2 linked regions of the Elephas maximus indicus genome follow. The protein of the gene in region 1 purifies or fractionates together with the protein of each later gene. This does not show direct contact. Links are inferred from orthologs where the notes say so. Each region holds a gene or a part of one and is shown on either strand. Other genes may lie near its edges. The genes, in order: ATP11A and TMEM30A.

Region 1 (14,775 bases):
ATGGTGTTTTGAAACACTTTATCAAAGTACCACCAGGGAGGGTTGCTAGAAAGAAGTGTCTGCTCACCACAAGTGCGGGCTCTCCAGTTACCCTGCGTGTCGCACCAGCAGCCCCGGGGGAGGACGCCAACAGACGGGCAGCAGCTGAGACACTTGGAGTCGGAAGTGGACTCCTGACTTGGAGTACCTGTAGTCCCGGGGCGTTTGGCTTTTCAGAAGCAGAGCTGGGTTTTTGTTTTGTTGTTTTAAATTAATTATTTTTAGCAGAACTGTTCTTATCGTTGTTTTTCCACTGCCCTTTGTGAAGAAGTGAGGCCAAATAAGGTGAGCTCAGAATTAGCTCAGAGTTTAGAACACCCGAGGCTAGTGTGCCTCTCAGACAGCTGCTAGATTAGCAGTCCCGGGGACTTACCCCACTGTCTCAGTGTGAACTCAGGATAAACCAGGCTCAGAGCTCTTATCAACCACCTTGGGTACCAGGGGGAGTGAGAAAAGGAAGCCATCAAGATTTGTTAGAAAGATGCCAAATGGTATCTTTTGGTTTTATTTTGCTTATTTCTTATAATTTCTTTGACATAGCAGGTGATGAATCAGCTCTTGGGGTGGTTTTGTTTTTTATATATTCCAGAACATTCTTAGTCCTGCTTGTAAGGGCTGTTCTGGCAATTCTGCGGGCACCTCGGGCAAACTGCATCTGACCATTCACATCCTGGGACTGTGAGCAGCCTTCATCTCCTGTCGGGTCCCTCCCCCTCTGTTAAAAGGTGATTTTCAGAGAAGGGCAAAACAACAACTCCATGCAGATGTAAAAATGAATACCTCCTGAATGATTTTATTTTATTCATGATGAGGACGCCACCAGATATGCTAACTGATTCAAGGGAAAAGCTGAAAGAGCACAAAGGTGCATGGAGTGAAGAAATGTGGAAATGAATGGGCAGATCACCATAAAACTCATGTTTCCACAGGGAGGCGATTATGTGGCTGTGAGAATTATTTTGTGCCCTTATCAGTCACCTGTAACTTAAAGGGAAACCCTGGTGGCGTCTTGGTTAAGTGCTACAGCTGCTAACCAAAAGGTCGGCAGTTCAGATCTGCCAGGCGCTCCTTGGGAACTTTTTGGGGCGGTTCAACCCATAGCGACCCTACAGAACAGAGTAGAAAAAATTTTAGGGTTGCTATGAGTTGGAATCGACTCGATGGCAACGAGTTTGTGTTGTTTTTTTTTAAATAACTTAAAGAGCTGTAAAATAGCTCAAGGGCAGTCACATGGGAAAGGCGTGTTTTATGTACCCAGTGCAGTCTTCCATGGAAACACTCATTTTTCTCTATGCCCTCATGGTCTAATAGTCTTCTGAATGTTGAAGAGACAACACTTTTCCAGTGTGTAAAGTGTATAATGCAAATGGGTATGGTTTTAACTGATTAACTTAGAGTTAGGTTTGGGTGGACAGGAAGAATCTATTCCTGACAGTTTAGGGTTGCATTTGGCCAAAGAACGGTATCGAGGAATGGCCTCCTCTTAAACATATCTAGGGATGTCCCTGGGTGGTGCAAATGGCCAAGCACCTGACTACTAACCAGGGTTGGCTTTTGAATCCACCCAGAGGCACCGTGGAAGAAAGACCTGGCAGTCTACTTCCGAAAGATGGCAGCCACTGAAAGCCCTGTGGAGGCAGATACTTTCAAAGGGTTTATTTGAAAATCTAAATTTTTAATTTATTTCTGTAAAAAGAATTCATCTATTACAAGCATGACAACAGTGTGAACATTTGTTAAATCTGAATAGTTTTTTACTTTCTTTCGTTTCTGTATGTTTGAATTATTTCATAACATTTAAAAAGTCACTGTCTGTCTCTTTAAGTATGAGTGAAAGTGAGTGGAGAACTTTAAGTATTATCAGTGCTGAGAAACTGAGTATACCTACAAACAGTGGCCAGCCCATACGTGACGACAGAACTCTGACCCACATCCTGCAGCAAGCAGCCTGAGAAGCCCAGAGTGATCAGGACTTGGTCAGGACTACCAGCTTTCTCCAATCACGATTAACAGGAAAAGCCAAATATGCCCCCTAAACCAATCATGTAAGAGGCCACACCTGCAGTGAGCCCGCCCCCAGCTTCCCCGTGCCGTCAGCCTCCAATCAGAGCCTTCCTCTTTCTTCTCTCTGAAGCTTTCCAACTCCCTGGCCTGCTACATACCAGCAGTCGTGGCTGACTTTCTTGCAAGCTCTGAAAAAGAATCTGTTTTATTTGGTTTTTTGGGGTGGTTGTCGTTTATTTCCGCAGTGATTAATTTTGAAATCTGTTCTTTACATACTTAAAGAGCATATTTAGAGAACATTGGTGGTTCAGTGGTGGAATTCTCACCTTCCGCCTGGAGACCAGGGCTCAGTTCCCAGCCGGGGCACTTCCCGTGCGGCCACCACGCCTCTGTTGCTGGTGGTTTGCCTGTTAACTGTGATGCTGAACGGGTTTCAGTGGAGCTTCCAGACTAAGACAGACTAGGAAGAAAGGCCTGGCAGCCTACTTCCAAAAATTAGCCGGTGTGAACACTATGAATCACAACGATCGTATCCTCAACCAGTCGTGGGGATGGTGCGGGACCAGGCCTCATTTTGATCCGTTGTGCATGGGGTGGCCATGAGTCTAAGGCAGAGGCAACGGTAGCTAACGGCAACCACAAACATGGGTCCGTCTGTGTAAAGTCACGCGTCGTGCCTGTTGTCCAGCTAACCTCTTTCCCAGTTCCCTGTGTCTCCTCACTGATGCGGTAATCAGCTAACAGCACAGAACAGGTCCCGGATACCTCATTTTAGCCACCAGGATAAAGCACGGAAAAGCACTGGGAATTCTTCAGTGCTGTCAGCTTTGCTGTCTTGTTGGAATTACTGCTTTACTCCTGGGACTCCTTTGTTAATTAGTACTTAATCAGTTGTGGACAAGGCCACATGGCTTGCTTAGATTAGTATTGTCACATGTGTGCTGGTTGACACTGAACTCTGCTTAAAGCATTTTGCTAATTGATGATTTACGACATTTTCATGTTATTAGCCAGGCTTTCGTGGTGGTGGTTATTGGTTGGAGTATTCTCTGTCAAATGTGGAAGTCATACCAACTCAGTCAAATGATCTGTAGGGTGAGGAGTCCCAAGTCCTGGCCTCAAGGGTCAGGAAAAGTAGGAATAATATTTAATGAAGTGCCACAGCACACATTGAAGATGGATCTATAACTTCTGCCACTTGAGCGTTACCTTGCACAGGCAACCCGTTTGTTGGCAGTGGCCTCGAGGAGCTGTGGCCTGGGATTACCCCTCAGCCACCAAATGCGAGCTCTCCTTGCCTGTCAGAAGGACTGCACTGCCAAGCATGTGAACAAAGGTTTTGCATTTTTTAGGATCAATCCCAAATGTCAAAAAATATCTTCAGAATAAAAAAGAATTAAGGGAAGGAGTCCGTGAAGGATGTTCAAACCATGTCAACATGATTTGCAGTGACGTCTCTTGTGGCTCCTGTTTATGGGATTACAGTTATCCTTTCTCCAAACTCCTACCTCCTTCTAGAAAGATGAGTGGGAAGGTAGGCTGTGGTGGATGTCCTGTTTGGTTATGATTTCACTGTAGAAGGGGTGAGATGGGAGAGAAAACCTGTTTGTTAGCCTGTCTGTGCAGTGTGAACCACATCTTTTTATTCTTCACATGGCCTTTCTGTCACTTCCCCCTCCTATTCCCTGTCTCACCTTAGCCCTTCCTCAGAGAGCGGCCTTTCTCCTCCGGCTCCAGACTTGGAATTTTTCCAGCAGTTCCACTCTTTCACCGTTTCGCACCATTGAGAGCGCTGATGCGGGACCAGAAAAAAGACAGAAAAACAAGACAGAGTTCATGCTGTAAAGCCTTTTTTTTGGCCCAAGTTCCAGTTTGAGAGTGAACACTTTGGCTGACGTTTGGTTCAAGACTGGTTACATTAATAAATTACGTAAAAATAATCGGGGCCAGTACATTTGTTTTCATTGCTAGCGTACAAAGAATGAGAATCTGAGAGCTGGAACGATGACAAAGCTCACCTCGTCTAATCCTTTGATCTCACTGCTGATGAGATCTGATGCAGAGATGTTTAGTGACTTGTCCAAAGTCACACAGCACACCAGCAGCGAACCAAGTTTCCTGATTCCCCCACACAGCGCTTCGTTGTTGTGTGCTGCTAAGTCAGTTCTGACTCAGAGCCACCGTAAAGGACAGAGGGGAACTGTGCCATAGGGTTTTCTAGGCTGTAATCTTTACGGGAGCAGATCACCAGGTCTTTCTCCAGCAGAGGCTGCTAACCAAAAGGTTGGCGGTTCAAACCCTCACAGTGGCACAAAACATATAACTCTGTAAATTGACATAACTAAAAACGTCAGAATTACACCAGGCAGTCTCCCGGAATGTGGTTTGTTCTATTTTCTACCTTTTGAGCATTTAACTATAGTCTGCTTAGAATTTGAACAGTTGTGAAGAGAATAACATTGATTTTAAATCACCTTGATTTTGAATCTGAACCCAAAGAAATGTTTCCCACCCATTTAATAAATGTTCTGACCTCAGAAATTATTGCTTTTTCTTCATCTTCTTTGAGTCCTGTAAGGCTAAGCTAAGGAGCCAGAGTAGAAGGGCGGTAATGACTTCACTGATGTTCCAGGGACACTGAGTTTCAGTCCATCGAGTTTTACTCTGTTAATAAAAGCAGGGAGCCTTAAGGAATTCTGGGTTGTGGGCTTCTGTTTTCATACTTCAACGAACAATACAAAGGTGGCTTTCTTGTACAGAGTTCAGCTTTCATTTAATATGCATATAATTCATTCTCAAATTAATTTTTTGTTTTCATGGTCTAAGGAAGCCCTAAGGCATGCTGGTGTGCAGTTAATTTTCTGATCTTGTCACACAGACAGGAATACTAGTTCTTCCTGTTAAGTGGCAGTTGTTTAAAATGACATGTAAATTTTGAGTTTTTGTGTTTGAGTTGTTTAGTGTAATTATTTAATGTTGTTGTTAGGTGCCGTCGAGTTGGTTCTAACTCATAGCAAACCCATGTACAACAGAATGAAACACTGCCAGGTCCTGTGCCACTCTCACGATTGTTGCTCTGTTTGAGCCCGTCGTTGCAGCCACTGTGTCAGTCCGTCTTTTTAAGGGTCTTCCTCTTTTTCGCTGACCCTCTGCTTTACCAAGCATGATGTCCTCCAGGTACTGATCTCTCCTGGCAACATGTCAAAGTATGCGAAGTGTAGTCTCGCCGTCTTTGCTTCTAGGGAGCATACTGGTCATACTTCTTCCAAGACAGGTTTGTTCGTTCTTTTGGTGTATTCAATATTCTTTACCAGCACCACAATTCAAAGGTGTCAGTTCTTATTTAATAATAAACATCTATTATTATTTTTTTTTTTTATTAGACAGCGTCAGGACTATGAGTTGGCCTCAGTAAAGTTCATCCTGTGCCTCCAGAGAGCAGAGGTCATGTTTGTCCTCCGACGGGAAATGGCAGGGAAGCATGGGGCCCTGTGCACAGAGTGAGCACCAGGTGTGACGCCCAGGAGGCTTTCCGGCTTTCAGACAGTCAGCGTGGCGGCTCTTGAGATTCAGCTGCTGTCTGTGAAGCTTAGGAGCAAGGTTTTCAGGATTTTCATTTTTGTATTCAAAGTCATATTTTTATACTTTTCTTTCTTCTTCTGGTCATGTAAAATATATATTTTTTCAATATGACTTTCTGAAGAATCAGAAGCATCAGCTTGGCTGTGTTCCAAGAAAAGAAAAAATCAAAGACCTTTTCTATTAGCTTTCATATGTAGAGGTTTTTAAAGTCATTGCTCTTTATTGACGTTCTCATGACGGGCGGGGAGGAGAGAGGAAAGGCTGCTGTTGGTCAGCGAGATTGTCACTTCAGATGAAGTCAGAGCTTGCTTTGTGCTTTGCCAGAGATGAGGCAGCCTGGCCTTCAGCATCACCAGGAGGGCTCGTACCAGTGCTGACCAGCAGAGGAGGCAGCCTGGCCTACGGCATCACCAGGAGGGCTCGTACCAGTGCTGACCAGCAGAGGAGGCAGCCTGGCCTACGGCATCACCAGGAGGGCTCGTACCAGTGCTGTCCAGCAGAGGAGGCAGCCTGGCCTACGGCATCACCAGGAGGGCTCGTACCAGTGCTGACCAGCAGAGGAGGCAGCCTGGCCTACGGCATCACCAGGAGGGCTCGTACCGGTGCTGTCCAGCAGAGGAGGCAGCCTGGCCTTCGGCATCACCAGGAGGGCTCGTACCGGTGCTGTCCAGCTTGTTTTGAATCTGCTCCCTGCCATCTGGGGCAATAATTACTCTAGAACCTCCAGGCTCCTCTGCACAAGCTGCATCCCACGTTTTTGCAGAGGAAAATGCACGTGGCTCATTTATGGTGCTGAGCCACTCACATCTGACCAGGTAGCTGCTTTGTCTATTTCTGTTCCCAAGGAAACGTGAAGCCTCATCTGCCTGTAACGAGCGCCATTTCGTGTCTGCCGCACATTTCTGGAACGTGATTGGAGTTACAGAGACTAATTTGGTCTTTTTCCTTTAGTTTACACAGAGTCTTATGGCAAAGCTGGGCCCTAATAAAAGGAAACACAGTGCACAGACACACAGGTGGAATTTATTAAAGTAAACGCGCAAACCTTTATGCAGCTGCTATGCATCCTGTGCTGTGGAGGGATACAAATGTCAAAGAGAGTTTTTACCCAGGAAGTTGATCAATGACAATAGTACATGCACACACATGTGCACGCACACACACATGTGCACACACGCGCGCGCACACACACACACACAAAACCAATGGGAGACTTGTAAACACGACATGGAGCAAATAGAAATGCTGGATTGCTTATGTTGCCCCAGCCTCTTGGGCTTCGAATAGTCGGGATTTCTCGAAGCAGCGAAAGGGATGGGCCGTAGTAACGGAAGAAAGGAGGACGCCTAGTACTTCGTTAAAAATCTTTCGGGCTGGTGCTTTGCTGTATGTTTCATTTCTGTTTTCCGACTCCATTCTCTTGGCAACTTTGTGAGTGAGAAGGGCTACCATCACTGCCTCATAGATGACAACGGTAAGGTTCAGAAATACCACCTCGCCTGCGGTTACACAGCTGGTCACTGGCTCAGTGTTGACTGAACCCAGGTCTCTTTGGCTCCTGTGCCAATTCGTCTTTCCTGTTACATAACATTGCCTTTCTTCTCAACTAGGAGTATTTCAGTCTCCTTTTCAGCACTGTTTTATCACACCTCAGAAAAGCTGACGGTTCTCCCAGAAGACCTGGAATGTGGTACCAAGACCACACAATAGGGCTTTTATTCTGAGCCTGCATTCTAGTCTCAGTTCTGTAGCTAAAGTGTTTAGTCACCTCAGAGCTGGGAGCACACTGTCTGGTTGAGTGTTTTTAAAAGATTTTTCTATTCAGAAGATATGTATTTAATGTCTTTTGTACACAAGACTCTCAGTAATACAAAAATGAATCAGACCTGAGTCCTTTTTTCTATCCAGAAAAGCCTTGAGTTAAATAATTCTTAGATTTTGAATTAATGGTTTTACCCCTTGTTTTCAAAAACTTCTAATCATCGTTGTCGTTTCTCTTCGAGAAGCAGTAAGATTTTGCGCTTGTGTTCTGTTTCTCAGTGAACCCACCCTGTCTTAGTTCCACTGACACTCAGCTTTTGAACGTTACCCATGTACCACTTCCTGGAGTACAGACAGCCTGCTCAAATGATCTACTTGAAGATATTTGGCCACTAATTTGAAGAGTTCATATTGTCAGAATTGGCCCCTAAATCTGAAGAATTTAGCTCTCCTTCTGTAGCCCAGAATGATGCTCTAAGCCAGACAATATAGTTTCTGTTAATATGAACAAGCATAAATGAAAGCCAGTGTTTTAGGTAAGAACTTTTTCACCGGAATTATGAGGTGCCTGAGATCATCTTTTGCTTTTTTCCACAGTGTGCTGGAGAAGAGAACTGGGTGGACAGTCGGACCATCTACGTGGGGCACAGGGAGCCGCCTCCAGGCACCGAGGCCTACATCCCGCAACGATACCCGGATAACAGGATCGTCTCTTCCAAGGTGACTTTGTCTTCTGGTCTGGGTGTTTGTTCATTACCTAGAAGAAAGTACTGTGGAGAGTATTAGCAATTTATGACAGCAAACACCAACACTCCTCCTAGCACTGCCCTCATAGCTGCTATTCTACTCTTAGCTAGGGACTTCTGATTAGAACTTTACAAAGGGTTTTTGCATTTGTTATCCTTTTAAGACTTGCCAGCTATCACAACACGTTTCCTTTGATTCTCTGTTAAGTACGTTGTGGACCCAGGGCCACGTTTGAAGTCCAGGACATTGACTTCCTACTGCTGCCACTTATTAGCTGTTTGGCCATGTGCAAGTCATTAACTGCTCTCAGCCAGAATTTCCTCATCTGTAAAATACATACAGTACTGCCACCTTTGACATAACGTGTAAAATTGCTTTGTAAACTCTAAAACTCTCAGTAAATGTAAGAGTTTATCAGGTGCTGCAAGTTTAAAGTGGGAAAAATGTGACTTGAACGTCATCACTTAAATGAAGCGTGTTACTCTTCACTGACTGGAGAATGGAACCGTAGAGGACATGTTTACACAGTTAGAGAACAGCCAGTAAAATAGTCCTTAAGAATAGAATTTAGAGTTAGTTTTTGGCTTTCAAACAAGAAAAGTAAGTGGTGGGTATATTAGTTTCCTGGAGTCCCTGAGGGATGCTTACAGTTAATGTGTTGGGGTGTTAACAGAAAGGTTGGAGGTTTGAGTCCATCCAGAGGCCCATCGGCAATCTACTTCCAAAACATCAGCCATTAAAAATCTTATGAGGGCATGGTTCTACTCTGACACATATGGGGTTCCCACGAGCCAGAATTTCCCTGAGGCTGCCATAAGAAAACCCACAAACTAGGTGACTTACAGGAACAGAGATTTGTTGTCTCACGGTTCTGGAGGCTGGAAGTCCAAATCAGCATGTTGGCTGGGTCAAAGTTTCTTGTCTCTCCCACTCCTGGTAGCCACGAGTGCTCCGTGGATATAGATACATCTTCATAGGGCCGTCCTTTCTCTGTCTCTCTGGTCTCTTGTTTTATGAGGACATCACTCAGATTGGATTAAGACACACCCTGTTCCAGTATGATGACATCTTCAAAGGCCCTATTTCCAAACAAGGTCGTGTTCACAGGTACCGCGGTTAGGACTTCAACATATCTTTTTGGAAGAAACAGTTCAATTCATAACACAAGGCGACATGCTTTCCAGATTATAGAGAACTTTTCCTTTCAGGTGCGCCAGTGAGTGTGTGCGTGAACGTGTGTGCACATGCCTGGCTGTATTAGATATGTGGATCTAACTACACGTACACCTGGTTCCTTTCTGAGTGATCAGAGTGCCCCATGTTGTTAAAAATACTTGACAACGGAAAAGCTTCACTTTCCCAGGCACTTTCTTGATCTACTTGGTGGAATGTGGCTGGAAGCTAAGGATGCTTTATTTATTATAAAAGCCCCTGGTAAAGGTGTTTGGGTGGGGATAACCTACAGCATTGATTTCATATTCCATTCCAGACCCCTTTGTTATCTGAGTCAATTTTTAGAGCCAATTTATAATTTTCATATTTTCCTTTTCAAATATTTGTGCAGACAGTTGCTAACAGTGATTTTAAGACAGGTCTTGCTTTTTACCACGATAAAAACTGCATCATTCTTTTCCTTTGCCTAGAGTATATTTCTGTCCCTGCTGTTGCAGCTCCTTGACCACAGCATCCCTGTATGCACTGTGACAGCTCCTTGACCACAGCGTCCCTGTATGCACTGTGACAGCTCCTTGACCACAGCGTCCCTGTATGCACTGTGACAGCTCCTTGACCACAGCGTCCCTGCGTGTACTGTGACAGCTCCTTGACCACAGGTCCCTGCATGCACTGTGACAGCTCCTTGACCACAGGGTCCCTGCGTGCACTGTGACAGCTGGAAGCATCACTGGTTTCTAATAAGGGAAATCGTATTCCGGGGGATGTGGAAGGATGGGGGTGTTGTTACAGAATTGCTGGTTATCAGAGACCTTTTAGAAAATATTTCTTCTCACTAAGCTCCTTCATACCAGGAAGCTCTAGAATAGGAACAAATAGAATTAAAGTCAACATGCTTTAAGGAGAATAAATTCTAGGAGAGAGTCAGGTGTCCCTGACTGCTGAGCCCACATGTAGGATGGGGTATTAGGTGCTTGAACACCTTCCATCTCAGCCTCAGAAGAAGAAACGGAACCGTGCTCTCAGGTGTGTTTGTGCATCGCATGGTCTTCATTCTTCACAGAGGCTGAGACTGGTGGCTTAATGTCTCAGTTTCTACTAGATTGTGGTAGGTAGTTTCAAAGAAAAATACGCATAATCTGTTGCTAATCAAAGCCAGTAAGGAAAAGGCTCTGAGAAAGGTTAAAGGCTTGGAATCTAAGCTGATAGCTGGGTTGATAGTGGCATTGATAACCTGAAATGGAAATCTAGAGCACATAATTGAGGATTCTTAGAATGTATGAAAAATGGAACTTAATTTATGCAACTGAGTTTACCACCAGTTTTGCAGAACGTGCTTGTGGCACCGTATCTTTGTTTTCTTGAGAATGAAAATTCTATTTCTACCTTTAAAAGAAGACTGCTCAGAAAGGCTTCTTCACCATATCCCTGATATCAAAACCAGGTAAAGACATCACAAAAAAAGAAAATTACAGACCTATATCCCTCATGAACATAGATGCAGAAATCCTCAACAAAATTCTAGCCAATAGAATTCAACAACATATCAAAAAAATAATCCACCACAACCAAGTGGGATTTATACCAGGTATGCAAGGCTGGTTTAATATTAGAAAAACCATTAATGTAATCCACCATATAAATAAAACAAAAGACAAAAACCACATGATCTTATCAATTGATGCAGAAAAGGCATTTGACAAAGTCCAACACCCATTTATGATAAAAACTCTCAGCAAAACAGAAATTGAAGGAAAATTCCTCAACATAATAAAGGGCATGTATACAAAGCCAACAGCCAACATCACTCTAAATGGAGAGCCTGAAAGCATTTCCCTTGAAAACGGGAACCAGACAAGGATGCCATTTATCACCGCTCTTATTCAACATTGTGCTAGAGGTCCTAGCCAGAGCAATTAGGCTAGACAAAGAAATAAAGGGCATCCGGATTGGCAAGGAGGAAGTAAAATTATCTCTAATTCCAGATGACATGATCTTATACACAGAAAACCCTAAGGAATCCTCCAGAAAACTGCTGAAACTAATAGAAGAGTTTGGCAGAGTCTCAGGTTATAAGATAAACATACAAAAATCACTTGGATTCCTCTACATCAACAAAAAGAACATCGAAGAGGAAATCACCAAATCAATACCATTCACAGTAGCCCCTAAGAAGATGAAATACTTAGGAATAAATCTTACCAAAGATGTAAAAGACCTATACAAAGAAAACTACAAAGTACTACTGCAAGAAACTAAAAAGGACCTACTTAAGTGGAAAAACATACCTTGCTCATCGATAGGAAAACTTAACATAGTAAAAATGTCTATTCTACCAAAAGCCATCTATACATACAATGCACTTCTGATCCAAATTCCAATGACATTCTTTGATGTGATGGAGAAACAAATCACCAACTTCATATGGAAGGGAAAGAAGCCTCAGATAAGTAAAGCATTACTGAAAAAGAAGAAGAAAGTGGGAGGCCTCACTCTACCTGATTTTAGAACCTGTTATACAGCCACAGTAGTCAAAACAGCCTGGTACTGGTACAACAACAGGCACATAGACCTGTGGAACAGAATTGAGAACCCAGATATAAATCCATTCACATATGAGCAGCTGATACTTGACAAAGGCCCAGTGTCAGTTAATTGGGGAAAAGATAGTCCTTTTAACAAATGGTGCTGGCATAACTGGATATCCATTTGCAAAAAAATGAAACAGGACCCATACCTCACACCATGCACAAAAACTAATCCAAGTGGATCAAAGACCTGAACATAAAGACTAAAACGATAAAGATCATGGAAGAAAAAATAGGGACAACGTTAGGAGCCCTAATACAAGGCATAAACAGAATAGAAAATATTACCGAAAATGACAAAGAGAAACCAGATAACTGGGAGCTCCTAAAAATCAAACACCTATGCTCATCTAAAGACTTCTCCAAAAGAGTAAAAAGACCACCTACAGACTGGGAAAGAATTTTCATCTATGACATCTCTGACCAGCGCCTGATCTTGAAAATCTATATGATTCTGTTAAAACTCAACCACAAAAAGACAAACAACCCAATCAAGAAGTGGGCAAAGGATATGAACACGCACTTCACTAAAGAAGATATTCAGGCAGCTAACAGATACATGAGAAAATGCTCTCCATCATTAGCCATTAGAGAAATGCAAATTAAAACTACGATGAGATTCCATCTCACTCCAGCAAGGCTGGCATTAATCCAAAAAACACAAAATAATAAATGTTGGAGAGGCTGCAGAGAGATTGGAACTCTTATACACTGCTGGTGGAAATGTAAAATGGTACAACCACTTTGGAAATCTATCTGGCGTTTTCTTAAAAAATTAGAAATAGAACTACCATGCAACCCAGAAATCCCACTCCTCGGAATATACCCTAGAGAAATAAGAGCCTTCACACGAACAGATATATGTACTCCCATGTTTATTGCAGCTCTGTTTACAATAGCAAAAAGCTGGAAGCAACCAAGGTGTCCATCAACGGATGATGGTTAAATAAATTGTGGTATATTCACACAATGGAATACTACGCATCAATAAAGAACAGTGACGAATCTGTGAAACATTTCATAACATGGAGGAACCTGGAAGGCATTATGCTGAGTGAAATTAGAGGCAAAAGGACAAATATTGTATAAGACCACTATTATAAGATCTTGAGAAATAGTATAAACTGAGAAGAACACATACTTTTGTGGTTGCGAGGGAGGGAGGGTGGGAGAGGGTTATTTACTGATTAGTTAGTAGATAAGAACTACTTTAGGTGAAGGGAAGGACAATACTCAATACACGGAAAGTCAGCTCAACTGGACTGGACCAAAAGCAAAGAAGTTTCTGGGATAAATTGAATGCTTCAAAGGTCAGCGGAGCAAGGCGGGGGTTTGGGGACTATGGCTTAAGGGGACTTCTAAGTCAATTGGCAAAATAATACTATTGTGAAAACATTCTCTATCCCACTTTGAAATGTGGTGTCTGGGGTCTTAAATGCTAACAAGCAGCCATCTAAGATGCATCAGTTGGTCTCAACCCACCTGGATCAAAGGAGAATGAAGAACACCAAGGTCACACGATAACTATGAGCCCAAGAGACAGAAAGGGCCACATGAACCAGAGTCTTACATCATCCTGAGACCAGAAGAACTAGATGGTGCCTGGCCACAACCGATGACTGCCCTGACAGGGAGCACAACAGAGAACCCCTGAGGGAGCAGGAGATCAGTGGGATGCAGACCCCAAATTCTCATAAAAAGACCAGACTTAATGGTCTGACTGAGACTAGAGGAATCCTGGCGATCATGGTCCCCAAACCTTCTGTTGGCCCAGGACAGGAACCATTCCCGAAGACAACTCATCAGACATGGAAGGGACTGGACAATGGGTTGGAGAGAGATGCTGATGAAGAGTGAGCTGCTTGGTGGACACTTGAGACTGTGCTGTCATCTCCTGTCTGGAGGGGAGATAGGAGGGTAGAGATGGTTAGAAACTCGCAAAATTGTCACGAAAGGAGAGACTGGAAGGGCTGACTCATTAGGGGGAGAGTAAGTGGGAGTATGGAGTAAGGTGTATATAAGCTTATATGTGACAGACTGACTTGATTTGTAAATGTTCACTTAAAGCTCAATAAAAATTATTTTTAAAAAAAGGCTTCTTAAAGTGGTAATGCTTTCACAGCTCAGAAAGTTTACTTTCATTAAATCATAGGGGTGTAAAAGCATTGTCATGTGAAAAATTATAATTGGGGATAAAGATGCCAATTTAATTATTTTAAACCTCTAACATGTTAGACAGAAGCACATTCATTGGTGATTTAGGAGTAAGCAGACTTTCCTTTTTGGAGGAGATACCTTTGAGTGTCGGGTAGAAGAATGGAAAAGTCATGATTCTGCAGAACGGCCCCTTCCTTGCTTGCTGTGGATGTGCAGACCAAAAAACCAAGCCAAACCCATTGCCGTCGAGTCGATTCCCTCTCATAGTGACCCTCTGTGCAGAAGTCCCTCCTAAATTATCTTTGAGCTCACCGTCAGGGGATCCTTTTCAGATAGGATCTCAAGAGAATGATGGCTAACTACTCGTTCCCTCTTAAAAATTATACTTTAGGGCACAAAATTCACGTGGTTCCCAAATTTACCTTCAGGAGTCTACAGAATCAAACGTTAGGGTTCACCTGCTCAGTCACTCCATGTTTTCAAGAAAAGCTGAATGACTTTTAATTATTGGAAAAGGGAAAAACCTCACCAACTAGAGGTATAGGCGGTGTTTTTAATGACTTACATTTGCATAAATGAGACTCCTGTTTATCATGTCATTTAAGCTCTAAAACAACTCTATAAGGCAGCTGTTATTTATTATGCCCAACTTATTTATGAAGAAGCTCAGGTTCAGAGCCAGGCAATGTGCCCAAGGCCACAGAAACGGGTTTTTCTGACTGTG
Region 2 (15,503 bases), on another chromosome or scaffold:
ACTGAGCTTTAATGAAATTTGGTATTTGCAATGAAGAATGATGATGCAATCAGAGTCATCAAACGCTCAGCCTTTTTTTGTCTAAGCACCATGATTAAGTCCTGTGTCTTAACCCAAATGGGATCGAGCTGAGTCATAGATGACTAAAAGTAATCAGATTAATTTTAAAATAAAACAATAGAATATGCAAAATTAACAGAAAACAGAAGAACTGAACAGTTAGATCCGTATCTAATGAATAAGCAAACAAGCTCATAAGTAGTTATATCCCAACATCCGTATTTAATTGAAGAAATTGCCCTACATGCAATCTTGGTACCATTCTAGGCTCACATAATTTCTACATCTTTTATTGTAAATATATATCCAATCATCAATCTAAATGGGAATCATTTTTTGAATGAAATAATTGGAAATATTTCCTGAAACTTAATATTTTTAAAAAATATCATAATCGGTGCTTCCAGCTCAAGGTGCCACAGATGAACTAATCCATACTTTTGCCTTTTCTTTTTGAGAGTGCTTTTTGAAGGTATCTTCTGTAGACTTAAAAAAACATATTTCATAAATATTGGATTCCAATGAAGATAGTGGATAGAGTAAATATTCTGGAAGTAGATGCCTGGAATATCCAAAAACATGAAGAATTCATTATATCCTAGGACAACCATAAAAACAAAACAACTGGTTTATGGTGTGGAATATCTAGTTTGAGCGTTAACAGAGATACCAACACTATGGAAATAACTCACAGCTTCTCAGAGTCAGCGGCAGAGCAAGTGTAAGTGGTGTGTATCAGGCCATGAAGTACCTTTGTGTCCTTTCTCCTTATGCTGTGCTTGGATTCTCATGAAAATGCATAAAAACATGGCCAAACTACGACATGCTCATGAATTTGATGTGCAGCAAATCTAAAAATAACAACAGTGTAAAATGGAAATTTAAAAAAAGCACAAATGGCACCTGAGGCATATGTCCCCCTCTGGGCCCCCAGAGCCACGTCTCTGCTAAAAATAGTAAGTAGAAGGTAAAGACGAAAACAAAAATTGTAATAAATTTATAAAAATTGGGAGAGTTTGGTAGAAATAACTTTGTCTTAGTGACTATCAATATCTATTTTCTTAAATTTTCAGCATCTACTCTATAATTACAAGATGTGATGATAACAGTGTTACTTAGGGAAAATGCTGTAGATTCATAAATTTGAACAAAAATGTTATAGGTGCCGTGACATTTCTGGTGTTATTTTTGGATATATTATTTTGGGAGTTTTACCCTACCATTGGCAGATTTTTGCTCTTTTAATAGTACAAATGAGCATTTATTTAATCCAGATTTTGTTTTAAAAATACCAAGCATTAGCTTTATCAATATAAGAGGCTTACAGTATGATCATATATTCTTAGGATTTTTGTAGGCTTAGTGGACTTTAAAAAACAAAAGAGTGCATTCAGTAGTTTTGAAAGACATTCTATCTTCACAGCACTCTTAATTTTGTCTTGTTTGAGTTTTATTAATTACACGAAAAGTTTATTATTTTTCACTGAAGCCAAGTGAATTTACTAATATGTACTTGTCTTTTATATGTAATACCCTGCTTCCAGTTCTTTACAGATTATCGAAATTACTTAACAAACAAGACATTCTGTTTCTTCCCAAGTCAACCATGTTTATTAAAATCTCACCAGAGTGAGGAAAAAGGACAATTGTAATATAAAAGCATTGTGAAATATTCTTTTTTGAGTTGAAACACAATCTTCATAAAATTAAAATCATTTAAAATGAGTAGTCAACCTCTCATTTAAAATTGTTTGCTTTAAAATTAACATTTTCTATGAATATAGTCACTTTCATGGTGCATAAGCAGAAGCAGTACAGCAGCTTTGGAGGCCGGTGAAATTAGGTCTCCCTCAAAAAGCCAAGAATCAGGCAGCTTTAGAGTCTGCCAAAATGAGGGATGCCTTTTCTTCTGAGTTACATCATAGTTTATTTAGTAGGATGACAATGACAAGACACCACAAATGAAAACTGGTTAAAGGGTTTCACTCACCCCTTTTCCTTCACCAAACACATTGTCAATGGACATTCAGATATCACCCACACTGCTTCTGCTGTCAATCTACAGGTAGACTTCTTAGCAGAGCAAACATTACTACGTTTTTTCAGCAGTACACAGCCCAGCCTTTGCAGAGCCAATTGGGTAATGGTTCCAGCAAAGTTGGGTGGGGGTATGGGTGGGATTGTGCTCTGATGCCTTCTATTTATCAATTCTGTGGCAGAACTGGTAGGCTCGTAGCTACTTCCAGCCCTAACTTGGTTTTGCCTTATTTGGAACAAAGAAGTGGGTTTTTCCTATTTATTATTTAAAGATAGATCTATCAAAAAATTAGACAAGAAGGCTGTCAAAACCAAGATGTTTTCTGCAGGAGAGTTGCAGGTCAGTGAGCAACTGGGGATCTCAGACACTCCATGGGGTCTCTTACGACAGGCAGTGTACTGTATCTGCTTAAATGGGTTTTTCTCTTGACCACTGTTAGATTAAATGAATCACCTGAGCTGCTTAGTTTGAAAGCTATTGGTCCAATCCCCAGGGGACCGAGACCACGGTCATAAAAATTGCAAAGGAAGGAAATGTCTCCAGTTTTGTTTTCTTTTCATTTCCCATCCACTTGTGCTCCACCAACTAGCTGAGGTCTACTCTCTCAGGAAGAAGAGAGAGGAGAAAATGGATTCTTTGTACCTTCATCCCCTTGAGCTCAGGGATAGAGTCACCCTTAATGAGCAACACGCTCCTCCTCCCTTGGTTAGGGAAACAGAAGCAACTTTCCTGGGCCCTGTGCTTTTTGGCAGTAGGGCACATTGCACCATACATTTTTTTTTTTTTTGAGTGTCATTAAAATCCACTATTGAAATTTGTCTTTAATGATATCCCAAGGAACCTATGAAAGCTATCAACACTGAGGCCTCCCTTCAAATGGATTACCTTGGGCAATACTCACTGACTGAGTTGTCCCAGACATAGCAACCTGATCTGCAGCTATTGTGTTGGAACCCAGGTCCCTGGCCTGCAGTTCCCAGAGAATCAGTCCTCGTTTCTGCTCTCTTCCTCTCTCTCTCTTCAGGTTAACCAGTTGTTCCTTAATCTCCCTTGCATTATCACCAGTATTTCATACATAAAAAATCTTTAAGGAGAATTTTTTTTTTCCTCTTCAGGAGCACTTTCCTATTCCCTACACTTGCCCCATTCTGCTTCTGGCATTTGTGCATAACGGTGTCTCCCAGTTCGACCATAAGCTTCTTAAAGATATGACTTGTATATGCTTCACAGTGAATATAAGACACAGGATAAATGTTTGTAAAATGAAATATAATTCCTACTAGGGAGAGGCCTTTTCCACTCTTCCTTCAGCTGCCATTTCTCCTTTTCCCCAATCTTTACAGATGTTTTTCGTGATCACAACCACATTCTCTTTTTCAGCCTTTCCAGCTCTCAGTACACATTTCTTTCTCCTCCTTGAGAAAAAGCATATGCTTAGTCAAAGTGGTGGGCTATTTATAGGCACTCTTTGACTCCTAACCCCAGAGAGTTGCTCCTTCCAGGGTACTCTCTGCTAGATCTTCCTTACCAAATTATTCTGGCTGCTGCTGCTTCCCTTTCAGAATCCTCTGTATTAAATAAGGCTCTCAACAATCACTTATTCTAAGGGAAGGCATGCTCTCTCCAAAGACAAGGGGCCCTCCTATTATCAGGGTACCGGATGGTCTATGCTATGTTATTCATTTTCCCTTCATCATGAAGCCAAGTATTGGTTCCCACAAGGAGCATTGGTGCAACTAGGTCATATGACATCGACCTTTATAAGTTAACAAACTAAAACCCAGAAATGGAGGGTACCAGAAACCTGTTCCCAGGGCAACTGCAAATTGCTGAGATCTTGCTTGAGAGAAAGAACATGATCACATTCTTTGGATCATGTAGGATACACAGTCTTGCATGGCATTAATATAACTTGCAGCATAAGGCTCATTCTTTATTTTTGATCCTGTTCTCTGCTGGGTAGAGAAATACAATATCATTCAGACCCTAGGACCCATTTCCTCACAGTTTATAGAGCTTGACATCATAAAGAGGATGAGGTGTGGTACCTCCTCTGAGCACCTACCTTGTTCACACATCTTATATGGCACTGACCTCATTATATTTCAATTGTTTGTTGGCAAGTTGTCTCTCCCACTAAAATGTGAGTTCACTGAGAGTAGGTCAGGTCAACAAAATTGAGTATCTTTTATGTTCTAGGCACTTTGCAGGTGTTGGAGAAATAGAAGTGAATAAAAACTGTTCTGACCTTGAGGAGCTTATATCTAATAGGAAAGACAGACGTAAACAGGTATTTTTCAATACTATATGGTAAGTGCAAGGATAGAAGCATATATAAGTTGCCTTGAGCTCAGAGAGCAGCTCTCAGCTCAGCCTGAGGGGACAGAGAAAGTTTCTTCAGTTTGGCTGCTGACCTGAATCTTGAAGGATGAGTGGGAATTAGCAAGGCAGTTTCAGTGGAAGTGGGGTCTGAAGTCAGGGAACAGAGGGTTGCTAAGTGATTGGGTTGAGGAAGTGTAGTTAGCCCAGATTATTCTTTCCAGAAGATTCACTGACAATAAAAACGATGTTGTGGAAGTTTGTTGAACCCCGACCATGTACCTCAAAGTGTGCTGGTCAGAGGGAGGTCATGAGAGGTCTTGGTCTTTGTTGTCACGACTGGTTAGTTCCAGTAACTAAAAAGCATGTTTCACTTCTGAGAATCAACAAAAGTTGACTTCACAATTAAGTCTATTTTGTGAGGGCCATCCTTCAAAAATACGCTGGAGTTATTTTAAGAAAATAGATAAAATCATAGGTAGTAGTGACCCAACTGTTTCAAAAAACAAATAAAATCCCTCCCCTGGGACTCCCAATAATTTAACACTTGGAAAAATAGAAAAATGTAAGTTTAAAGTAAGTATAAAAATAGTCCAAACATACATTCTGTAGAGGATTTACATTTCTTAGACCTACCTTCCAGTATCTCTTGATGATTGTCATAGAATAAGCAAGTATTCTCCTTCACCCTCATGCATTTTAAAAATAATTAATTTCACTATAGTATCTGTAACAGATGTCAGTTGTCTGTCAACCTAAAGATGGCTACATCATATTTGAAGGGAAGACATTATCTATAATTGATGGTACCTACTGGAAACCCTGGCGGTGTAGTGGTTAAGTGCTTCAGCTGCTAACCAAAAGGTTGGCAGTATGAATACACTAGGTGCTCCTTGGAAACCCTATGGGGCGGTTCTACTCTGTCCTATAGGGTTGCTATGAGTGGGAACCTACTTGATGGCAACAGGTTTGGTTTGGTGTTTTAATTGGAAAAATACATGCCACAGGGATGTAATCAACTGAAACATTCTATGGAATGAAAATCTGGTAGTCTGAGGTCTCATTAGAATTATATTCTTTCATTTAACAAAAGTGTAGAATTATGAGAAATGGAACTCTTTTTTCCTCTCAAAACAAAACTCTTAGGTAGTCTTCTATGGAATTTTGGTGTCATTGCTCTTACCTCTAGTGAGACTAACCATTAAAATATCCAGTTTGATTTGTATTTCTGAAACTGACTATGGTTATTCAAAGACTTGCAAAATCTCTCATCACATCACTAATAACTGTAGACTGATCAAACAATCTCTCAGTGTGAGAACAAAAGGATTTTCTTAAACGCCTAGCCAGAAGAGTTCAATAAATATACTACATAAAAATCAGGAAAAGGTCAATTTTAATAGAAGCAATTTTTTAAAATCCGTTTGAATCAATCTCTGATGCAATAAATGCAAAAAATTAATTTTATTATGAAATTCTGTTATCACTCTCCTAAGAATCCTGAGATAATTAAAAACAAATAGCATTTAGTCCCACCAAAGTTCTCCAAGGTAATCTGATTAATTGACTAGAGAAAAAAATTTTTTTTGCTGCAAAAATACACAAGTAAAAATACTATCTAATGACTGAAAGGAAACCCTGGTGGCATAGTGGTTAAGAGTCTGGCTGTTAAACAAAAGGTCAGCAGTTCAAATCCACCAGGTGCTCCTTGGAAACCCTGTGGGGCAGTTGTACTCTGTCCTGTAGCGTCACTATGAGTCGGAATCAACTTGACAGCAACGGGTTTGGTTTTTTTTTTGTAATGATTGAAAACTATTTCCAATCACAAAGAAGTTTCTCTTAAAACTATGGCACTCTTCTCAGCGGTCTTCAACTTCCTTAAGCATCATCATGCTACAGGTAAGAAGTGGTTTGAATATGATTAGAAACTATAAGGACTAAAGTATCACCAATATCACACAACCAACCATCACTGGAGCGTAAAATAGTAAAAAAAGCCAGTTTTAGTTTCCTTTTTTTAGTTCTCCAAGTCATTCAGTAGTTACTTTTCACGGCTTAAGATATCCTATAGTTTTTTCTTAAGGTTCCTGTTTACTTCATTCTGTGGCTTAAACACAGCAATTGAACTAAGAAATGAAAATCTCCAAAAGCTAAATACATATACCTTTTCAGATTGTTGGGTTTGCATCTGTTCTGTCATTTTGGATTTACTTTTATATTGGGGCTCATGCATTCTTTGCACACTTACTGTGGTGACCTGGTAGTGAGAATTAATAAATGCTATTTAGATATAAATTCCACATTTACCAGGAATCAGCAAACCAACAATCATTTAAATAACAGAAATAGAATCTAAATGTATCATTAACACACATACACATGCACATACACACACATCAGTCACTCCTAGCAACCACAGTTTGAAAATGCATATACTGGTAATACATTGTGAGAACGACCATTCTCTTTTCTTGCCCCAGACAACACTTTTTTAAACCCCTACTTCAACTGTAAATGAAAAACTACCTAGTAAGGACTATCATAAAATAATGTGTGACCAAGGGAATCACAAAAATCTGAGTCCCCTGAGATAATGATGTAGAAGTGAAAGAACACGTTAGCTGGGTAAAAAAGCATATTGTGGTGGCAGGGTAGAGTACTGGGAAAGGAACTGGAGGGATATCAAGAGATCTGGGAAAGTAATTTCATCCCTTTGGCCCTCACCTGAAAATGAAAATTTCAGACAAAAGTCTAAGGAAGCTTTCAGTTCTACAAGGCCATGTTTCAGTCAAAATGGAGTTTCTAATAAGAAAGAAAAAGACAAGGAGTTACCTAATCTTTCTTATGAACATACAAAACTAAAGAAAAAGGAAAGCAGATCAATACACCATTATCACTCAAGACAAATACAAAAAGATTGATGAAAAGACCATTTATATGGAATGCTGGAATAGCAAATTGCTTAAGAACTATCACATTTATTGAGTATGATGATACAGGCAGATATGGGGAGAAAAACTTGCCTTATGCTATATAATTTCACATTATGCCCAATATTATTATATGTATTTTTACTAATCAACAGACCTCAGCGAAATAAAAGGACTCCATGCCCTCCCCATCAACTGTGCTGGGTTGTTTTTCATTTGAGCCTGAGGTTGAAGGATCAAATGAAATATAGACCTAAGTATGCTACAGATGGAAACCCTGGTGGTGTAGTGGTTAAGCGCTATGGCTCCTAACCAAAAGGTCAGCAGTTTGAATCCACCAGGTGCTCCTTGGAAACTCTATGCCTTGTATGCATGCGAAAGCTGGACAATGAATAAGAAAGACCAAAGAAGAATTGATGTATCTGAATTACGATGTTGGCAAAGAATAATGGAGATACCATGGACTGCCAGGAGAACAAATAAATCTGTCTTGGAAGACGTACAGCCAGAATGCTCCTTAGAAGCGAGATGGCAAAACTTCATCTCACTTACTTTGGACATGTTATCAGAAGGGACTAATCCCTAGAGAAAGACATACTTGGCAGAGAGGGTTAGTGAAAAAGAGAAAGACCCTCAACAAGATGGTCTGACACAGTGGCTGCAATAATGGGGTCAAGCAGAGCAACAATTGTGAGGACGGTGCAGGAGAGAACAATCTCTCTTCTGGTTATACATGGAGTCGCTGTTAAGTCATGTGAGATCAAGATCAAGCAAGTCAGTAGAGAGCACTAAGCCTTTAAAAAAAAAAAAAAAAGCCTTACATGCCTCCAAAACCTGCCAAATAGATATTTGATTGGCTCACATCTTATGACATGTGGTCATTCAGAAAAAAATTTAAATGCAAACTATGAAGATCAAACACCCTTTAGTTTCCCTTTCCTTTAATTTCCTTTCGAAAGTCTTACCTGTACCTTATTTAAGAAAAAGAAAGTTTGAGCATTTGTTTTCAGATAACGCAATTTCATCTCTGGTCTGATTTCGAAGAAGTCAGTGTAATGTAGATTGTATATACATTAAAAAATTACAAATAATATATGTTTATTACCGAAATTTTGGAAAATACAGAGAAGTGCAAAGATGCAGAGAAACAGAGAAACATTGCCCATCCTGTCAACAGAAGTTACCACTATCTACTTTTTAGTTGGGCTCTATATGTCTATACTACTGTGGTATCCTGATTTATTCACTTTTTATATCCTGAGAATTTCCTTGGGTCATTAAGTACTTGGCAGTTTTAAGGTGTCTGCACAGTATTTCTTTTTATTTCAATGCTACAATTTATTGCAATGTTATACGTTCTGTTGTGCATAGGGTCGCTGTGAGCATGAGACAGCACCTAACAACATACTTTCTTGAGATTTTTTGCTTATTAGGAGTCTAAAAAGAGTTACAGCTTATTAAAAAAGACTCCTTAAATCAATGTGCAAAAGAGAAATGCGGACAGAGTAAGGAAAAAAAGGAAACCCTTGACCAAAAAAACCAAACCCACTGCCTGAGTTCGAGTCCGACTCATAGCGATCCTATGGGACAGAGTAGAACTTCCCAATAGTTTCGAAGGAGCGCCTGGCGGATTCGAACTGCCAACCTCTTGGTTAGCAGCCGTAGTACTTAACCACTACGCCACCAGGAAACCCTCTAAGAGGACCATTAATGGTAGAAAAATAGGTGAAGATAGCTCAATTAGAGGCAAGATAATAAGGTTAACCAAGTCACATTTATTTATTCTTGACTTTAGGACAAAAGGACAACACCTCACGGAACTCGGTCTTCACATTCGCACCGTGAGTGGCGGTTTACTTAGAGGTGACAGTTTTAAAACCTAAAAAAATACTGCTAATCCCACCAGGCTCAAGCTCCCTTGCTGTGATCTTTTTAAATGATCTAACTTCCTTCAGAGAGGGCATCGAGGTAAAAGCAAAAACCTGGCTGGTGCTGAACCCACCAGAAAGACCTCTTTGTTGGCAGTTTCAGGGCCGACGGAGGTGGCTCAGACCGAGCACACGGCTGGCGAACTAGAACGGCTGTCCGTCACCATGATAACCAGAGCCGCTGCCAGGTGTGTACGAACAAAGGCGTCCGGAAGTGAAGCGAAAACACTTCTATGGCGCAAGCGCCCAAGCGTCTTCGCCCTCAGGGCCGCGCATGCGCTAACGTAGCTTCGCGCTCTGTGGGCTGAGGCCCTCACTTTGTCGTCACAGGGCAGATGATCAAGGTGCGTCCGCGTTTTCCCTCCCCCTTCTATCCTCTTCCCCTATCCCCTCCCCTTGTCCCTCAGTCTTCTCCCTCCTTCCTCTCTCTTACCCTGGCGTCCCCAACCGACTCCCGCTTCCGGTCAGCAACAGCCTGCGGAAGGGTGTCCCGCCTCTTCCGCCTCGACAGCGGAGGTGGTGGCAGTGGTGGCGGCGGCAGCGGCGGGGGCAGCGGCGGCGGCGGCGGCTGCGGCGGCGGCGCCTGCGCGTCTTTTGTCAGGGTCAGCAGGCGGGTCCCCTGGGCGATCCCCCTGCGCGTCGCTGAGGCGCGCCTCGCGGGTCGATGGCGATGAACTATAACGCGAAGGATGAAGTGGACGGTGGGCCCCCGGGTGCTCCCGGGGGCGCCGCGAAGAACCGGAGACCGGATAATACGGCCTTCAAACAACAACGGCTGCCCGCCTGGCAACCCATCCTCACGGCGGGCACGGTGCTACCTACCTTCTTCATCATCGGCCTCATCTTCATCCCCATTGGCATCGGCATCTTCGTCACCTCCAACAACATCCGCGAGATCGAGGTGAGGGGAGTGAGCGGCGGCGGGAGTTGGCGCTGCCTGGGGGCCGGCTGCTTGCCGCCTGCCTTACTCTTTCCTCGGCTTTCTAGAGGTGGACAGGCGGGGCCCGCCCTTCCCCACACTTTACCTCTCTTCCTCTATTTTTTCTTTCTCTTTCGGCGAGTTTTCTGAATTTGCAGTTTTTTTCTAGTTTCCTCCTGCTCACGATTTACAGTTAGAGGGTAGGTCAGGTGAAGAAAGCGCCTTCAATGAGCAGTTTGTGTGGTTCTGGGGCGGGGGGGGGGGTGTTGTCCAACGGAGGTAGAAAAGAAAAGTTATATCTAGATGTAAATCCAAGGGAATTGGCATGGTCAGGGTGGGAATTTTTCCAGGAAACGGAGAGGAACATTTTGGCCATTGTGGGGAAAAGGACCCAGAGGCATAGAGGTGTTGATGATTTCTGTGTAACGAAGTTGTCATGTTAACCAGGTCGTGGATTAGGACATACGACTGAAGAATGCACGGCATTTTTTTATTTTGAGCTAATTCGAATGTTTTTAGTTGTAGATAATAAGTAATCTGAAACTTCAATTCTGGTTTTCTTTTTAGACAGCGTTTATTATCATGCTCCACGTTAGTCCTAATTTTCCCTCCTAGATTTTAAACTTTTCAAAAAGCGCCAATGAGCACACTCGGGGGTTAAGTTGTACACTACCGAACATTTTACTGGTATAATGTAATAATTGTGGTCGGCAGTTCGAGTCCATCAGGCGCTCCTTGGAAGCCCAGTGGGGCAGTTCTACTCTGTTCTTACACGGTCGCTGTGAGTCGGAACCGACTCGACGGCAATTTTTTTTTTTAATGTAATTTATGGCTTAACAGAGAGCCTTGTATTGGGGAAACATCTTGATTTCTGTAGGGTAACAGTAACAGTATTTTCACCTGCAGTGGTAAAGGTGGGTTAGCACTAGAATGTAAATACTTTGTATAAACCAAGCCAAACCCCTTATATGGAGTCAATTCCGATTTACAGTGACGTTATATGTGTCCAATATTAAACATCTCATCCTCTTTTTTTGCATGTTTGAGAGTATTTTTTATCTATTTGAAAGGGCAGGGACTGGTACCAAAGTTTCTGAATTCCCTCTTTCTGTTCTATCAGATTTTGTCATTTTTTTTCAGGTTTTATTAAACACTTTAAAATTAACGTATGTGACTTAATGGGGCTTTCAGAGGAATTTTGTTTTCAACTATTGCAGTAGGAATAAAGGTGCTTATTTTCTAGTTTGATTTACAGTGTTAGCACTAAAAGCGAGATCAGTATTTTTTTAATTGTACAGTGCTTCTATGCTAATAACAGTAAGAGGAATAGTATCTATAGCATAACTTAGTTTTTAAATATTTTACTAAAAATTCATTTTTAGTTTAGTAACTAAAGAAAGTCACTATATATATATTTTTGATGTATTTTCATTATCTCCCTAACAGTTCTGCAAATGTAGTACTTTTTATTTTCCTAAGGACAAGGATCACACATTATTTCAAGACATGGGCAAAGGGGTGGAACATAAGGACCATGGGGTTTATTCTGGAGTCAGGCAGAGTTTGATTTTAATTCCTGGCTCAGCCACTAACAAGCTTAGAGCTTCGTTTGGTTGGAAAATTTACTTAATCTCTCTGAAGTCTCAGTTTCCTCATTTGCGAAATAGGTAAAAATTATGCCATCTTGCAAGATACGAAAATTAGAAACGCTGTAGGTAAGATGCCTGAGACTGTTTGTACAGTAGTTACTGTTATTACGATGATCCTTAATCCAATGAGAAGTGGAGCCAGAGGTTGAGATTTGCTGATAAGCCAGTTAAGAGTATTATAAAATTGAGGCATAAACCCATATGCTTTATTTCTAGACTTAAAAGTTTCTCACTACGCTAAGCTGCTTACTACAATGCTAGTAATTAAGTAGGAGAAAAGAATTTCTTAACATGAGAATTTGAATCATCTTATTTAAATTTCTTAAATATTAAGATGAAAGGAGCAATAACTTGGCATTTTATATGAATGGGTATTTACTAGGTTATCAGAACTCAAGTTCTATTAATATTTACTATACTATGAAAATAAATATTTTCTTTAAAACTTTCACATATTGAACTAAAATGTGATTCTTCCTACTAAGTAGTAGGTGAAATTGACATTTCTTAAATAGTTCTCATGTACAATTCTGATTTCAGGTTGCCTGAAGAGGATGTAGCAGCTTGAACACTTAAAACGGCACTCAAGTTAGAGTCAAGGCATTAGAGTTGAAGTCCGAACTCTGTCCCTGTCTAGTATGTGGTCTTAGGTGCATTTTTGGGGTCTCTGTTTCTTTACTTGAAGAGCGAAAAGATTCAGACTAGATGATTTCTCAAATGCTGTTCAGCTCTAAAATTTTGACTTCCAAGTTAAATGTAATTTTTTTAACTCTTCATTTTCAAATTTTATTGCTTTTGGAACCAGAGAACTGAAAATTAGGAATGACTGGGAATTTTACACCAACACTGACATTGAGTTGTGCAAATAGAATCCTTTTTTTTTTTTTTTGAGTGTTAAGTATGTATAGAAAAAAAAAATGTATAGAGTGATTCTAAATTGGATTTGGGGTTATAAGAAGAACCTGGGGAGCTTTTCCAAAACACGCATGTTTCCTCCAGGTCTCTATCCTTTAACCACTAGTTTAGATTAAAATATGTTGAGGGTTATTAAAAGTAGTCGAGTATTGAGAAATTCTTGCCAACATTCACTTCCAGCCTATAAGTTACTCACACCTTTTTAGTTTATTTCTTCATTTTTCAAAATTTTAAGAAACTTCTTTGCTGTATTTATATCAGGTTACTAGGGCAAAGGAGACTTGTCCAATCAAAATGCTTTTGTAACGTATCTTAAAGTTCTAAGATCAGAAATCAAAACTTTTGGTACAAAAATCAGTTGGTTCTTCACCTAACTCCCAGAAGTATTAATACTAAAAAAATTACTACTCTTATAAAGTGCCTTGCATTCCCCCAAAAAAGGTGTAGAAAAAGAGATTTTTTATTTTAATACTTATACTTGGCCATATGCTTCCCTTCCTTGTTAGGTTTATATATGTTTTTTAGTTGGTTTTAGACTTTTTCTGTAACCTAAATAAAATTTGCTTATTAGAAAACTACCATTGTTAATTGTATCATTTATAAGAAAATATTTTAAATATTATCTTCATTTATGATTAGGAGTAAAGAGTGAGTATTTCCTTTAATTTGGCAATTGTAGGTGTCAGGTATATCTTTCTGCTGCAGTGGTGATGTTTTTGTGGTCTAGGGCCATTGTTGGTGAGGCTGAGATATTAATTGATTGAAACTCACTTGAAAAATGTAGGGAGCAAGGTTATTAACTTTTGCAAAGACATTTATCAGTGTGAAGTTATATACATTTAAATTATGATTAGAATAGGATGAGAACATAATCCAGAGTAATATTCAGTTAATTTAAAAACATTTACTTCAAATTAATATTGCCAAAAGTGTTCAAGATGTGCTTTTATGAAACCTAGTAGATTAGCCCTCCACCCCATTTGATTAAGAAGTCGCCGTTCTCTTCTTCATCTTATATCATGTACCTTCCTCAGTTATTTCTTCCTGATTTCTTATATACACTGTTAATTATTTTTATTCCTATATAACTTGGATTCTGTATGCCTCAGGGAGTAAAAATGCTTTGCAGTTGACTTGATGATAAAAACCCAAACCCAGACTTGATGATAGGAACACTAACTTTGAACCCCAGTTATGTGACATTACACCCTGAAATGAAAATTCTTTTATTCTTATTAGTATACTTATATTACAAAATATTTTACTTACTATATTTTGAATTTCATCAATAAAAATTTGTGCAAATTAGTCTCTCTTGTTATATAAGAACCAACATACTTTCAGTCTTGCCCTTTCATCCACAAAGCTGAAAGTATTTACTCTCTGGCACTTTACAGAAAAAAAATTGCCTACCCTTGACTTAGATTTTTAAAGATACATACTGGCAAACTTGGCATTTGTTAGAAAAATAGCTGTGTTTAACTTAAGCTCTAATCATCAGTAACATTCAAGGTAGGTGTAACAATCCCTGGTAGTGGTGTGTGCGCCACCACCATCACCGTATGAGTTTAGTCAGTATAAAATACTTTAGCTAAATTTACCCTTAGTGTCAGCTAAGGTAAGGTTAAGTCGTATAAAATTCAAGCAGACTAAAGAAAGTTGCTATTAAAATTTTTACTTTAGTTAATCTTTTGTCTTCTTTGGAGTCTGTAAAAGGGACTCCTGATAAGTTCTTTAGTGTGAAATAATCAGTTCAAGGGGGTACTTCAAATACCATTTTTAATTTAATCTGATTAATACTTAAAATGATTTACCTTATTACTCAGCATTTTGTTGAGTGACCTCTTTAAATCTTATATTGATTTCCTTTAAGACAGATAGATATACATTCAAAAATGGAAGTTTTCCAGTGTTTCTTTCTATGCAGTGTAAAAAACTGCATGTCCTTCAAATTCCTCCTTTCCCACGGCGTTAAATTCAGAGTCTGTTTCTTAGGAATAGGGTATATTTTTAGAATTGCTAAGGATAAATGCCAGTTTGGTTTAGGGAAACAATTACAGTGGTAGCAAAACAAAGCTGAGAAATATGATCACTCTTAAACTCATCTACTGATCCACATCTGCTATTCTATTTTGCCTCTGGTTCTTTGTCTTTTGGATTTAAGCTAATGGGCAGGTCTCCAACTGTCATTGTATTCTGCATTGTGCCTTACATGCTTTTGACATTTAGTAAACATTAAATTTTAAAGGTAAGGGAACTGTAGCTTCTCTTCCACCTGGTAGCCTCTTTTTAAGATAAATTATGTTAACTTTAGAATAAACTTTGCTTTTTGAAATCTGATAGATTTCTGCACCCAACAGATTTTATTACAATCTGGACATTAAGTCAGGCTAACCTTGAATTTTAGCTGATGAAGAACATAGTTGTTATTTGTGGGTAAAACTCATAAACTGAGTTAAATTTATCAAGAGTTTTAATCAATATTGGGCATTTTCTATTTACAAGGTGATGTTCTGGGCATAGTGGGGGATAGGAAAAAGTTCGAGGACCGGGCCCTTGTTTATTCTCTCTTGTGCTCTCTTTTATCTGTCTTTCTTTTTTAACAGAGAGCCCCTGTTCCTAAGGGACCTGAAATTGGGTGGGGGGAGCAGGGGAAGATGGGACGTACATATAGGAGGAAAACTGAGCATTGCTAGATGATTGACACAGACAATATATCTTGGTAGTTCAAAGGAAGACAAGATC

What was found.
Region 2: the proteins of ATP11A (region 1) and TMEM30A purify together in Homo sapiens (co-immunoprecipitation; 4 studies listed by BioGRID and IntAct, with this or other methods). This does not show direct contact. The link is inferred for Elephas maximus indicus from reciprocal best matches to the Homo sapiens genes ATP11A and TMEM30A.

What each region holds. Positions count from the first base shown.
Region 1 is NC_064841.1:78,995,109-79,009,883, forward strand, and holds the start of ATP11A (phospholipid-transporting ATPase IH), read left to right. Parts: upstream 1-6,960; 5' UTR 6,961-7,090; coding exon 7,091-7,099; intron 7,100-7,983; coding exon 7,984-8,106; intron 8,107-14,775. UniProt on the Homo sapiens protein: Catalytic component of a P4-ATPase flippase complex which catalyzes the hydrolysis of ATP coupled to the transport of aminophospholipids, phosphatidylserines (PS) and phosphatidylethanolamines (PE), from the outer to the inner leaflet of the plasma membrane.
Region 2 is NC_064819.1:138,655,789-138,671,291, reverse strand, and holds the start of TMEM30A (cell cycle control protein 50A), read left to right. Parts: upstream 1-9,841; 5' UTR 9,842-9,939; coding exon 9,940-10,176; intron 10,177-15,503. UniProt on the Homo sapiens protein: Accessory component of a P4-ATPase flippase complex which catalyzes the hydrolysis of ATP coupled to the transport of aminophospholipids from the outer to the inner leaflet of various membranes and ensures the maintenance of asymmetric distribution of phospholipids.